Linked DNA regions of Caenorhabditis elegans. The protein of the gene in region 1 purifies or fractionates together with the protein of each later gene. This does not show direct contact. Each region holds a gene or a part of one and is shown in the gene's direction. Other genes may lie near its edges.

Evidence for each region. Proteins that work in one complex are often made in the same cells at the same time.
Region 2: the proteins of smrc-1 (region 1) and met-2 purify together in Caenorhabditis elegans (affinity purification with western blotting, with the first as the bait; one study listed by BioGRID). This does not show direct contact.

Annotation. Positions count from the first base shown.
Region 1 is NC_003281.10:6,389,370-6,394,345, forward strand, and holds smrc-1 (SWI/SNF-related matrix-associated actin-dependent regulator of chromatin subfamily A-like protein 1 homolog), read left to right. Parts: upstream 1-1,574; 5' UTR 1,575-1,579; coding exon 1,580-1,669; intron 1,670-2,034; coding exon 2,035-2,130; intron 2,131-2,169; coding exon 2,170-2,322; intron 2,323-2,385; coding exon 2,386-2,765; intron 2,766-2,816; coding exon 2,817-3,267; intron 3,268-3,313; coding exon 3,314-3,511; intron 3,512-3,556; coding exon 3,557-4,057; intron 4,058-4,102; coding exon 4,103-4,306; 3' UTR 4,307-4,470; downstream 4,471-4,976. Other genes in the region: C16A3.2 (protein-tyrosine-phosphatase), read left to right, coding at 464-676, 732-894, 940-1,118, 1,170-1,280. UniProt on the Caenorhabditis elegans protein: ATP-dependent annealing helicase that catalyzes the rewinding of the stably unwound DNA.
Region 2 is NC_003281.10:8,373,743-8,381,336, forward strand, and holds met-2 (Histone-lysine N-methyltransferase met-2), read left to right. Parts: upstream 1-1,557; coding exon 1,558-1,653; intron 1,654-1,722; coding exon 1,723-2,010; intron 2,011-2,057; coding exon 2,058-2,722; intron 2,723-2,790; coding exon 2,791-3,287; intron 3,288-3,790; coding exon 3,791-4,404; intron 4,405-4,704; coding exon 4,705-5,573; intron 5,574-5,624; coding exon 5,625-5,760; intron 5,761-5,808; coding exon 5,809-6,335; intron 6,336-6,667; coding exon 6,668-6,890; 3' UTR 6,891-7,121; downstream 7,122-7,594. Other genes in the region: lmbr-1 (LIMR family protein R05D3.2), read left to right, coding at 1-41, 95-473, 525-898, 946-1,033; R05D3.12 (Putative DNA topoisomerase 2, mitochondrial), read left to right, coding at 7,215-7,338, 7,386-7,594. UniProt on the Caenorhabditis elegans protein: Histone methyltransferase which is required for the mono- and dimethylation of 'Lys-9' of histone H3. This increases the efficiency of set-25-mediated trimethylation of histone H3 'Lys-9'.

The DNA of each region.
Region 1 (4,976 bases):
TACAATGGTTTTCAGATAAATCAATAAAACTGAAAATTTAAGACTAATGCTCTCGATGAGACTGTTTAAAATCAGATGAAAACATATTTGAAAATTATTCCTTAGAACAGAATCGTGTGCGCCTTTAAAGAGTACTGTAGTTTCAAACTTTTGTTTTGTCAAACCGGCATAGTTTTTGATTTAAAAAATACATGTTTCATTAAATTATTAAAAAATCTCAAACAAAAATATAAACATAAATTTTGAAAAGTCGTGAGAAAATCTATGAAAAAATAAATGAAAATTCGGGAAAAACGAGTTTTGAACGTTACAGTAATCTTTATGTGCACATACCTTTTCTCATTTAACGAAATTTGTCGTGTCGAGACCGGGCACCGTATTTTTGGCGCGAAATTCTGCGTCTGGATCATAATCTTGACATTACAGTGTAACACGACAAACGTTCTTTCATTTATATTTCCAGATGTCCGAAGCTGAAACGGGGGAACCTAATGGATTCAGAAGTTGTTACGACAAACTTCGGAAAGCTGTTGGAAACATCCCAATGGATGCATCAAAATCCACAAAACTTCACAATTTGTCAAGTAGGAAGATTTCAGAGATTCTGCCAAATCTCTACTTATCCGGGAGAACTGTGTCTCAGAACAGCGAACTTTTGAAGGAGAAAAATATTACGGTAAATATATTTTTTTAATGAAAAAAGTGTAACAATTAAAGTAATATGCTTCCAGACAGTGATCAATGTATCAGATCGGGAAGTTGTTAACTACAAGAATAATCAAAAGTTCATCAAAAACTACCGATTCTATGCAATGTCCGACACAGCAAGTGCGAAGTTTGATGGAATTATTGAAGAAGCAGTTCGAATAATTCACGATTCAAGATCTAAAGAAGGTAGGATACATTTTATCTTCAAATGTATATTTCCCCAAATTCCAGAAGGTGTTCTCGTTCATTGCTTCCTCGGTGTCTCCAGAAGTGCAACTTTAGTCGCATTCTACCTGATATCAGCTCTCTCCATCAACTGGCGGGACGCAGTTGACTTCATTCATCATAGAAGATTCTCTGCAAACCCGAATTTTGGATTTTTACATCAGTTGAAAGTCTACTCAACAACGGTAGGGAAAATTGAATGATAATTGGAAATTTCTATAAAAATGGATTTTCAGAAAGCTAAAGAATTTCGAAATCAACTAATCAGCGAACGATGTCTCAGAATGCGAGAATCTGATAAGGATATTATCAAAAAGTATTTACCACTTGCAGTGTTTGAGCTTTGAATTTCTTCTAATTCTTCATTCCCATATTTGTATTTTATTGCTTCTTTACCTACAAATGTACAATACAACGACCTCTGATCTTTGGTGCTTTCTTCCATTTTCCCTGATCTTCATGTACAATTCTTCTTGCCATTTCCTTGTACTTATTGCCACTTTCAAAGTTTAATAATTAATTAAAGTTTTTTTTTTTGCTTTCTTCTCTTCTACGAGTGATTCTATCAGAGTTGTGTGTTTCTATGTTGTGACTTATCTTGAGTTTGCTGTGATTTGTTTCTAACTTTTAAGTTGATATTCAGAATATGGTGCTCACTGATGAGCAACGACAGGCGATTGCCAAGAAACGAGAAGAGGCGATCAGGCGAGCTGCAGCATACAGGGAAAGAGAAATGGTAGTTTTTGGATTGTCAGGGTTTTTTGAAGCTACAGTATCCGCGACTATTTCACCATTTTTTCAAATTTTTTTCTACTCGGATTTTCATTCCTTTTATTAAAGAAACATACTGGATTATCATCACGTACACGCTAAACTTCATGTGAAAATACATAGAAAAAGTATAGTATTACGTGTTTATCCACAGATAATAAACACGTAATACCGTAATCGCGGTTACTGTAGCTGTAAAAGTACATTCATGGCAGACACACCCTTTCGCAATCAAGTAATAACTCAATTAATTCACATCATGTTTAATCTACAAATATGCCCTTTTCAAATGTAAATTATATTTTTAATACTGAAATTTATTAATTTCAGCAGGCTGCCGCCAACGCCACAGCTTCCACGTCATCTGCTGCACCACCAGCTCCTCCTAAACCAGTTATTCCCGTTATGTTCTCACAAAATCGACAGGTTTTTAAAAAATGAGTTTTGAATTGACAAAAAGTTTAGAATTTCCAGCCAATGAAGCCGACTATGAACAATAGCACAAAACAATCGACTATAAACAACTACATCAAACAAGTTCAGAAGCCAGAACCGACAAGTTTGATTAAACCGACGATTGGGGTGAAACTCAAGTTGGATATTGGTGATAGAATTAAGGTAATAAAATTTAAAAATTTGTAGTTTAACATATATTTAACATATATAAACATATATTTTAAGATTGAATTCTATCCATTTCATTCGGCAGTAATCGATCTCATCAAACAAGTTCCAAGTCGAAATTACGATCCCGCTAAGAGATCCTGGACAGTAGCTTCTTCCGATCACATCACCATCAGTAATATTTTAAAGAATGCAACAGCAGTGAAGGTGGAACTCGAACCTCTTCCTCAGAATATTATAGGATTAACGAACTTCAAACCAAAAGCAGCGCCTAGTGATTTGAATACAGTTATGGATCCATCACTTATCGAAAGACTCTTTCCTTATCAGAAGGAAGGTGTGATATTTGCATTGGAAAGAGATGGAAGGATCCTATTAGCTGATGAAATGGGATTAGGAAAGTCGGTTCAAGCATTGACAATTGCAAGATACTACAAGTATGATCCGATGATAGTTTAATCTCTTAAGATCGTAATAAATAATTTCAGAGCCGACTGGCCTCTCCTCATTGTGTGTCCAGCCTCTGTCAAAGGTGCCTGGAAGAAGCAGCTCAACACTTTCTTCCCAATAATTCATCGAATTTTCATCGTCGACAAATCCTCCGATCCTTTGCCAGATGTTTGTACTTCCAACACAGTCGCGATTATGAGCTACGAGCAAATGGTTTTGAAACATGATATACTTAAAAAGGAAAAGTATAGAACAATTATTTTCGATGAATCTCACATGCTGAAAGACGGAAAAGCACGACGAACGAAGGTGGCAACTGATCTTTCAAAAGTGGCACTTCATGTGATCCTACTCTCTGGAACTCCTGCATTATCACGTCCGTCCGAGTTATTCACACAGATCAGATTGATCGATCACAAGTTATTCACCAATTTTCATGAATTTGCGATACGATATTGTGACGGAAAACAAGGAAGATTTTGCTTTGAGGTACTGTGGATCGTTTTTTTTAAATTTAAATAACTATCTTTTTAAGGCAAAAGGATGTACAAACAGCGAAGAGCTCGCCGCAATCATGTTTAAAAGATTGATGATCAGACGTCTAAAGGCTGATGTCTTGAAAGATCTTCCTGAAAAACGTCGTGAAGTTGTCTATGTGTCAGGACCTACAATTGATGCTAGAATGGATGATTTGCAGAAGGCTCGGGCTGATTACGAAAAAGTCAATTCAATGGTAATTTTCAATATTTTAAAATATTGTTTTAAAAAATTGCTTCAGGAGCGAAAACATGAGTCTCTTCTCGAGTTCTACAGTCTTACTGGTATTGTCAAAGCTGCTGCAGTCTGTGAGCACATTCTCGAAAACTACTTCTATCCAGATGCTCCACCACGGAAAGTGCTCATCTTCGCACATCATCAAATCGTTCTTGACACTATTCAAGTGGAAGTGAACAAACGAAAACTTGGATCAATTCGAATCGATGGAAAGACTCCATCACATCGAAGAACGGCTCTTTGTGACTCATTCCAGACTGATGATAACATTCGTGTCGCGGTTCTTTCGATCACTGCAGCAGGTGTTGGAATCACTTTGACCGCCGCATCGGTCGTCGTGTTCGCTGAAATTCACTTCAATCCAGGATACCTCGTGCAGGCCGAGGATCGGGCTCATCGAGTCGGACAGAAGGATAGTGTCTTCGTGCAATATTTGATCGCAAAGAAAACTGCTGATGATGTCATGTGGAATATGGTTCAGCAGAAATTAGATGTGTTGGGACAGGTAGTGCAATTAATTGTCTATATATTTTTTTGCGTCTAATTTCAGGTCAGCCTGTCAAGTGACACATTCCGTACTGCTGACAAAATGCATCTCCGTTTCAATGATGCCGCGCAGCCTGGCATCGCAGAATATCTCAAAAAGACTCCAGATACAACGATTGATGAATGGGAAGATCCTGTAGAGGAAAAAGAGGATGATGACTTGGAAATCATCTGTGATTCTCCAGCTCCTAAACGTATCAAAAATTGAATATCAGCTCTTTATCCAGGATTCAGACACATTTGTGAAATTCCATGTTTCCAATGATTTCATATTTTACGCTCTCATTTTATAAATCTCAATTTAACTTCTTTTTACGGTTCACAGTGTATTATTCAATATCTCAACTTGTTTTTATATAAAAATTATTTCTTTAAATTGTACAAAGTGTGTGGCACGATTTTCGGCATACTAGAGCAGATATGACACATTGAGCGGGAAATGATCCGAGGCGACGTCGGAATAATTGGAGTAAATATAGAATAAATATTATAAATAGAAACAACTAATAATTTAGAAATGAGGCAGAATTGTAGAGGAACATCTCCGAAGAGAAGATAATTCTGAATTTCTACCAACACCTTTGCTTCTTTTAAATTGAATTATTCGGTTGGTGGAGACAGGTACCTTATCAGGATAATATAGAGATAAGAGATGCTTGAGAGAAAATAAGACTTAAAAAAAACATGGAGACCTGTTCCGTCGATGGTGTTCCAATTCTCTCAACGATAAGATTAAACTTTTGAACTATTTTTGCAAAGATAGAAATCAAAAACCATGAAGCTTTATTAGAGCTCAAAATTTGCGATACGCAAAAAAAGAAAATGTCATCGAATGCTATAAAAATTACCAGCATCTGGATCGTGAGAACAATACGGGA
Region 2 (7,594 bases), 2.0 Mb from region 1:
CCTCCAAGGAGCTCATTTTCGGCAAATTATTATTCTTCAAGGTATTTAATTTTTGTATGTTTTAAACAGTTTTATTTAACAATGTTGATTTAAGATTTTCTCGCTGGAAACACAATTCCGAAACTGGCCTCAATCCATCCTCATCACTTCTTGTGGATCCTTTTGCTTCTGGAGATTTCCATGAAGCATCTTCGTCTGAGGCATCATCAACACCATTATCACCTGCTCGTCGCACCAAATCCGAGGAAGCCATCTGGAAGCCAGTTCTTCACACAGTAAAATCCTCGAAATTATACAAAAGAGCAATTGAGAAGCAGGGGCGACTTGTGAAACTTTTCATGAGTCTTCGATTCCCAGTAGCGGCCGCTGCTTTGTTAGTTTTGACGACATGCTCTCTAATCATGGTGGCTACAAATACCTTGAAATTGTTATTCGGGTATCGCAGTTTACCTGTCTATGCTCAATACATTGAGGTAAGCTTCGGAGATTTTAAATATAATTTCTAAAAGTACATAATTTTTCAGGTACACACTCGTCATTCATTCGGACTTTTTGGGGCTTGCATCGAAACTCTTCTCATTATTTACGTGATGATCACATCTTTCGTTGGGCTGTACTCCCTTCCGGTTCTTCGTTCTCTTCGACCTGTTCGAAAAGATACTCCAATGCCAACGATAATTATTAATTCTTCAATAGTTCTTGTTGTTGCATCCGCTCTCCCAGTAGCTGTTAACACAGTTGGAATGACAACTTTTGATCTTCTCGGCTCCCACTCATCGCTCCAATGGCTTGGATCATTTCGAGTCGTTGTTGCCTATAATACTCTATTCGTCGTGTTGTCTGTCGCATTTCTCTTCAATCAATTGACTGCTTCAATGAGAAGGCAAATCTGGAAGTGGTAAGCTGTGCAATTTAAAGTTTAAATTCTTATTAATTTTTTTGCAGGATATGTCAACTACGATGTGGAATCAGACGGGAGAGTGATGCGGATGAAACCATTGAGATCCTTAGAGGCGATAAGAAAAGCAATTGAATTTCTTTCCTTTTTCAACACTTCTTACCCATGTTCATCATTTTAATCTTTTCATTACAAAAACAAGGTCCTATTTTTTTTCTCGGGTACTACTCGCCTTTTCTAATAATTCAGAATCATCAATTTTTGCCAACCTCTAGCTTTACATGTCTGTTTTTCATCATTTTCTCTCAAGCATTCTCCTAATATATTATGTTCCCTAGTATTTCCCCTCAGTCAGCAATTTTCTCGTCGTCGAAACCGTTTAGCTTTACTTTCAATCAAAACGTGGAACATTTTTCAAACTATTTGAAGCCAAAAAAAACCAGGGCTTTTGTATATGTACCATATTTTCCCTCTGATTTTCTTTATCGCCTTCTCTTTTCATGTAGAATAACTGAAATACAAACCATTTTAATTTTTTCTTTTAATTATCAATACTGTCCGTATAGGTAAAAATTATTTCTTCAGGTTTGAAAAAATCCGAAATATGTATCTGCAACTCTTCAGGGCATTGCCTCAATTAATTTTTATCTAATATTCAGATGGACCAACAAGAACCATCGAATAACGTAGATACGAGCAGTATTCTTTCGGATGATGGGATGGAAACACAGGAACAAAGTTCATTCGTCACTGCTGTGAGTGAAATTATTTAAAATTTCGCTTCGGAGATTCATTGTCATATAATTCAATTTATCGATTTTCAGACAATTGACCTAACAGTGGACGACTACGATGAAACAGAAATACAGGAGATTCTGGATAATGGAAAAGCAGAAGAAGGAACAGATGAAGATTCTGATTTAGTTGAAGGGATTCTTAACGCTAATTCAGATGTCCAAGCGCTCCTTGATGCGCCATCTGAGCAAGTAGCTCAAGCTCTTAATTCGTTCTTCGGAAATGAGAGTGAACAAGAAGCTGTTGCAGCACAAAGACGGGTTGATGCGGAGAAGACTGCCAAAGATGAAGCTGAACTCAAGCAACAGGAAGAGGCGGTTAGATTGCAATAAAGGAAACAATAATAAAATTATTTTATTTTCAGGAAGATCTTATTATAGAAGATTCGATAGTCAAAACTGATGAAGAAAAACAAGCAGTTCGAAGACTGAAAATCAACGAATTTTTATCGTGGTTCACAAGGCTCCTTCCAGAACAATTTAAAAATTTCGAATTCACAAATCCGAACTATCTGACAGAATCTATCAGCGATTCACCGGTTGTAAATGTCGATAAATGCAAGGAAATTGTCAAATCGTTCAAGGAAAGTGAATCACTTGAGGGACTTTCACAGAAATACGAATTAATTGATGAAGACGTGCTAGTCGCTGCTATTTGTATTGGCGTTCTCGATACCAACAACGAAGAAGATGTCGACTTTAATGTTCTATGTGATGATCGTATCGACGATTGGAGTATAGAAAAATGTGTCACTTTTCTTGATTATCCAAATACTGGATTGAATTCGAAAAATGGACCGTTGAGATTCATGCAGTTTACTGTCACATCACCTGCATCAGCAATTCTCATGCTCACTCTGATTCGATTACGCGAAGAAGGGCATCCGTGTCGATTAGATTTTGATTCAAATCCGACTGATGATTTACTCTTGAATTTCGATCAAGTGGAATTTTCTAATAATATCATTGATACGGCAGTCAAATACTGGGATGATCAGAAGGAAAACGGTGCGCAGGATAAAATTGGCAGGCGAGTATTAATCAAACTCACAACTGTTTTGAAAGTATTTTCATAATTATCACTTAAATACCTTTTAGAGAGCTCAACGACTTCTTCCACGAAATCGAGTCAACATCAGCAGAATTCAAACAACATTTTGAGAACGCCGTTGGCAGCCGTAATGAAATAATTCAACTTGTCAACGAGAAAATTCCCGATTTTGATGGCACTGAGGCTGCTGTGAATGAGAGTTTTACATCCGATCAACGAACCGAAATTATCAACTCTCGTGCAATAATGGAGACATTAAAAGCCGAGATGAAGCTCGCCATCGCCGAAGCTCAGAAAGTTTACGACACCAAGACTGACTTCGAAAAATTCTTCGTTTTGACAGTTGGAGATTTCTGTCTGGCTCGCGCCAATCCTTCTGACGATGCAGAATTAACATACGCCATAGTTCAGGATCGTGTGGATGCAATGACCTATAAGGTTAAATTTATCGACACAAGTCAGATCAGAGAGTGTAACATCAGAGATTTAGCCATGACTACGCAGGGAATGTATGACCCGAGTTTGAATACATTTGGTGATGTTGGTGAGTTTTAAGTTAAAATTGATATTTAATATTACATCTGTTATGTAGAATAAGGGTTTCGGTTTTTCGATTTTATTAGAAAATCGAAAATTTTAGTTTTTGTGTTAAATTTAAAAAAATCAAAATTTGATTCACTATCAAGTCCGTTTTTCTCTTCTCAAAATTGACAAAATTTTGATAATCTAGAATTTTCGTCCCGTATATTTTTCAACGAAAAACCATTTAAAATTTTCCATGATTGGATTTTCGGTTGATCTAGAAAAAAATGGTGCTAAACACTAAATTTGAAAAAGTTTGAAACAAATTCAAATCCAAATATTTCATGAAAAACTTGTAAAATATATTATGTACACAAAAAAACGTTTCAAGTGTAGCAGTTGTTTTTTGTGGTCCCAAAAAAGCAGATGTTTGTCAGAATCCATTAAACAACAAAAAAATCCAAAAACTCAACCTGGCCTAGATATCAGTTTCATGATCGAAGTATCTAAAATCATTGTTTTCAGGTCTTCGAGTTGCCTGTCGCCAAGTTATTTCCTCGAGCCAATTTGGAAAAAAAACAATTTGGCTTACCGGTACAGCTGCCGGACGTCGCAGAGCTCATAGATCCGATTTTCTAATTTTCTTCGACAACGGAACCGATGCATACGTGTCAGCTCCGACAATGCCTGGTGAACCAGGTTATGAAGTTGCTTCTGAAAAGAAAAGTGTATTTTCTCTCAAAGAAATGATTGCGAAGATGAATGCTGCTCAGATTGCTATTATGGTTGGACAGCCAGTAGGAAAGGAAGGAAATCTGGATTATTTTTTGACATTTCATTGGATTCGACAATCTCACAGATCAGCGTATATTCGGGATTTTATGAAAGAATTTCCGGAATGGCCACTTCTCAAGATGCCAGTTGGAATGCGAATCTGTTTGTACAATTCTCTTGTTGATCGACGTAAGAAAATGGTGACAGTGATTGGAACTGATCGAGCTTTTGCTATTGTGAGACACGAAGCACCGAATCCATTGGCTCCTGGGAATAGATGTACAGACTTTCCGTGCAATGATAGAAATCATCAGCATATTGACGAGAAAATCTATAGAGGATCTCATAGATTGGAAGGCGCAGCGGTAAGATTTTATTTGAAAAATTGATACAAAACGAGGATTTTCTAAAATTATTTTATTTTTATTTGATTTGATTTCTTATAATTGATAATCAAGGTTTTTTGGATGTTTTGTTAGAGAAATCGAAAAGGGAAACTTCCAAAAAAAAGCTGTGAAATCAATTTTTGCTTTTAATAATATCCAAGTTTCATCTTCAAAGTTTTTTCTATAAAATGGACACAAACTTTTCAACGTTTTCAAAAAAAAGGTTCCGAAAATATGAAAAAAGGAGAAAGAAATCATGAAAATTTTGTATTATTTCAGCACAAGAAGCACATGATCTCGACAAATAACAATCTGTCGCAACGCAGAAAAGACCAGCTTCAATCACAGTTCGAGCCAACCGACATGATTCGTTCGATGCCAGAGAGGAATCACCAACAAGTCGTTAAAAAGAAAACGACGGGCACCAATCAGAATGTCGCTTCGACAAATGATGCAAAATCGAAGAGAGAAATTGAAATAAGAAAGAAAAATCAATTCTTATTTAACAAGATTATTGTTCCAATACCCGTCCTAACACCATTGGAAAATCTCAAGGCTCATGCTCAATGTGGTCCAGATTGTCTACAGAAAATGGATGCGGATCCGTATGAAGCAAGATTCCATCGAAATTCACCAATACATACTCCTCTTTTGTGTGGTTGGAGACGAATTATGTACACAATGAGTACTGGAAAGAAGCGGGGAGCAGTGAAGAAAAACATTATTTACTTTTCTCCATGCGGAGCCGCTCTTCACCAGATCAGCGACGTCTCTGAATATATTCATGTCACCAGAAGTTTATTGACGATTGATTGTTTTTCATTTGATGCACGAATCGATACTGCCACTTATATTACTGTTGACGATAAATATTTGAAGGTTGCTGATTTTTCGCTTGGAACCGAAGGAATCCCAATTCCACTAGTGAACAGCGTGGATAACGATGAGCCTCCATCATTGGAATATTCGAAACGACGATTCCAATACAATGATCAAGTGGATATATCGAGTGTTAGCCGAGATTTCTGTTCTGGATGCTCTTGTGATGGTGATTGCAGTGACGCATCGAAGTGTGAATGCCAACAATTGTCCATTGAAGCAATGAAACGACTCCCCCATAATTTACAATTCGACGGACACGACGAATTGTATGAGAGTTCAGAAAAACAAAATAAATTTTTAAAACTATTTTTTTTCAGAGTTCCTCACTATCAAAATCGTCTTCTCAGCAGTAAGGTTATCAGTGGACTCTATGAATGCAACGATCAGTGTTCATGCCATCGAAAGTCTTGTTACAACAGAGTTGTTCAGAACAATATCAAGTATCCTATGCATGTGAGTTTATTTAACGATGATACATACCAATTATTGTTTTTTCTTCAGATCTTCAAAACTGCTCAATCCGGATGGGGAGTCCGAGCTTTGACGGATATTCCTCAAAGTACGTTCATTTGCACGTATGTAGGTGCTATACTGACGGATGATTTGGCTGATGAACTAAGAAATGCGGATCAATACTTCGCTGATTTGGACTTGAAGGATACCGTGGAGCTGGAAAAGGGTCGCGAAGATCATGAAACTGATTTTGGTTACGGAGGAGACGAGTCAGATTATGATGACGAAGAAGGAAGTGATGGTGACTCCGGTGATGATGTAATGAACAAAATGGTGAAACGTCAAGACTCTTCGGAGAGTGGTGAAGAAACAAAACGGCTGACAAGACAGAAAAGAAAGCAATCTAAAAAATCCGGTAAAGGAGGAAGTGTGGAGAAAGATGACACCACTCCAAGAGATTCAATGGAAAAGGATAATATTGAAAGTAAAGACGAACCCGTTTTCAATTGGGATAAGTATTTTGAGCCGTTTCCATTGTATGTTATAGATGCAAAACAGAGAGGAAATCTTGGAAGGTAAGATCACAATTTTATTCATTAAAAAAATTTTTTAGAGATTTTGCTTTAAATGATAAAAAATGGACAAACCAACCGTTTGCCTCTTCTTTTGGTTTATCAACCTTTCTCTATGGAAAAAATTCTGAAAAATTAACAAACAGTATTTCACGTTGAAAAGTGAAGAAAAAAGCAAAAAAAGGAAACAAATTTCAAAACGGTTCTACTCCATCTTAAAAAAACTAAAATTCGTAAAAAGTCATTTGGTATGTTTTGGAGACTATAATACAATTGAGAAAATTTGAAAAACCGGCACTCCAAAGATACAATCATAAATTTTCGATAACTTTCAGATTCTTGAATCACTCTTGCGATCCGAATGTGCACGTTCAACACGTCATGTACGATACGCATGATCTTCGTCTTCCATGGGTCGCGTTTTTCACACGAAAATACGTGAAAGCCGGCGATGAGCTAACCTGGGACTATCAATATACTCAAGATCAGACGGCTACCACACAACTCACATGCCACTGCGGAGCTGAAAACTGCACCGGCCGTTTGCTGAAAAGTTAAAGAATTGTTGTTATTTCCTTCCCAGTTATGTTTTCCTTTTTTTTTAAGTATTTATTTATTTATTTAATTTTTATTTTGTTTATTGTTCAATCGTTTAAAATCTCCCTTTGAAAACAGCATCTCATATGTATGATCTAAACACGTATTTACCTCGTAAGGGTTTGCCAAATAGTTTCTTTGGTTTTCATTTTGATTTTCTCTGCGAATAAAATGTTTTAAAAAAGACATTATATTTTTTAATAGTCAGTACAGTTTTGATGTCTCCAATCTATTTCAGTTTACAATTTTAAAATATAGAATATATATATTTAGGTTTCATAAGTTATGCATCGATTACGGGTTCTACGTCACTTGAAGTTCTGCATTTCCACGTCACATAGGACTACTGTAGTTTTAAAAAATACTCGTTCATTTTGTAATAATATTCCTTCTACTAGTTTTGCTTCTGGTAATAATCGAATTTCAAAACTTTAGCTAAAATATTTCTTTTTGAAGAGGCTGCAGCAAAATATGAAAAGAAAAGTCCAACTGAACATGTATTACTTCGACCCGATACATATATTGGAGGTGTCGCCATGCGAGAAGATCAAATTATTTGGCTCAGAGACTCAGAAAATAGAAAAATGATTGCAAAAGAAGTCACTTATCCACCTGGATTATTGAAGATTTTCGATGAGATTCTAGTGAATGCGGCTGATAATAAA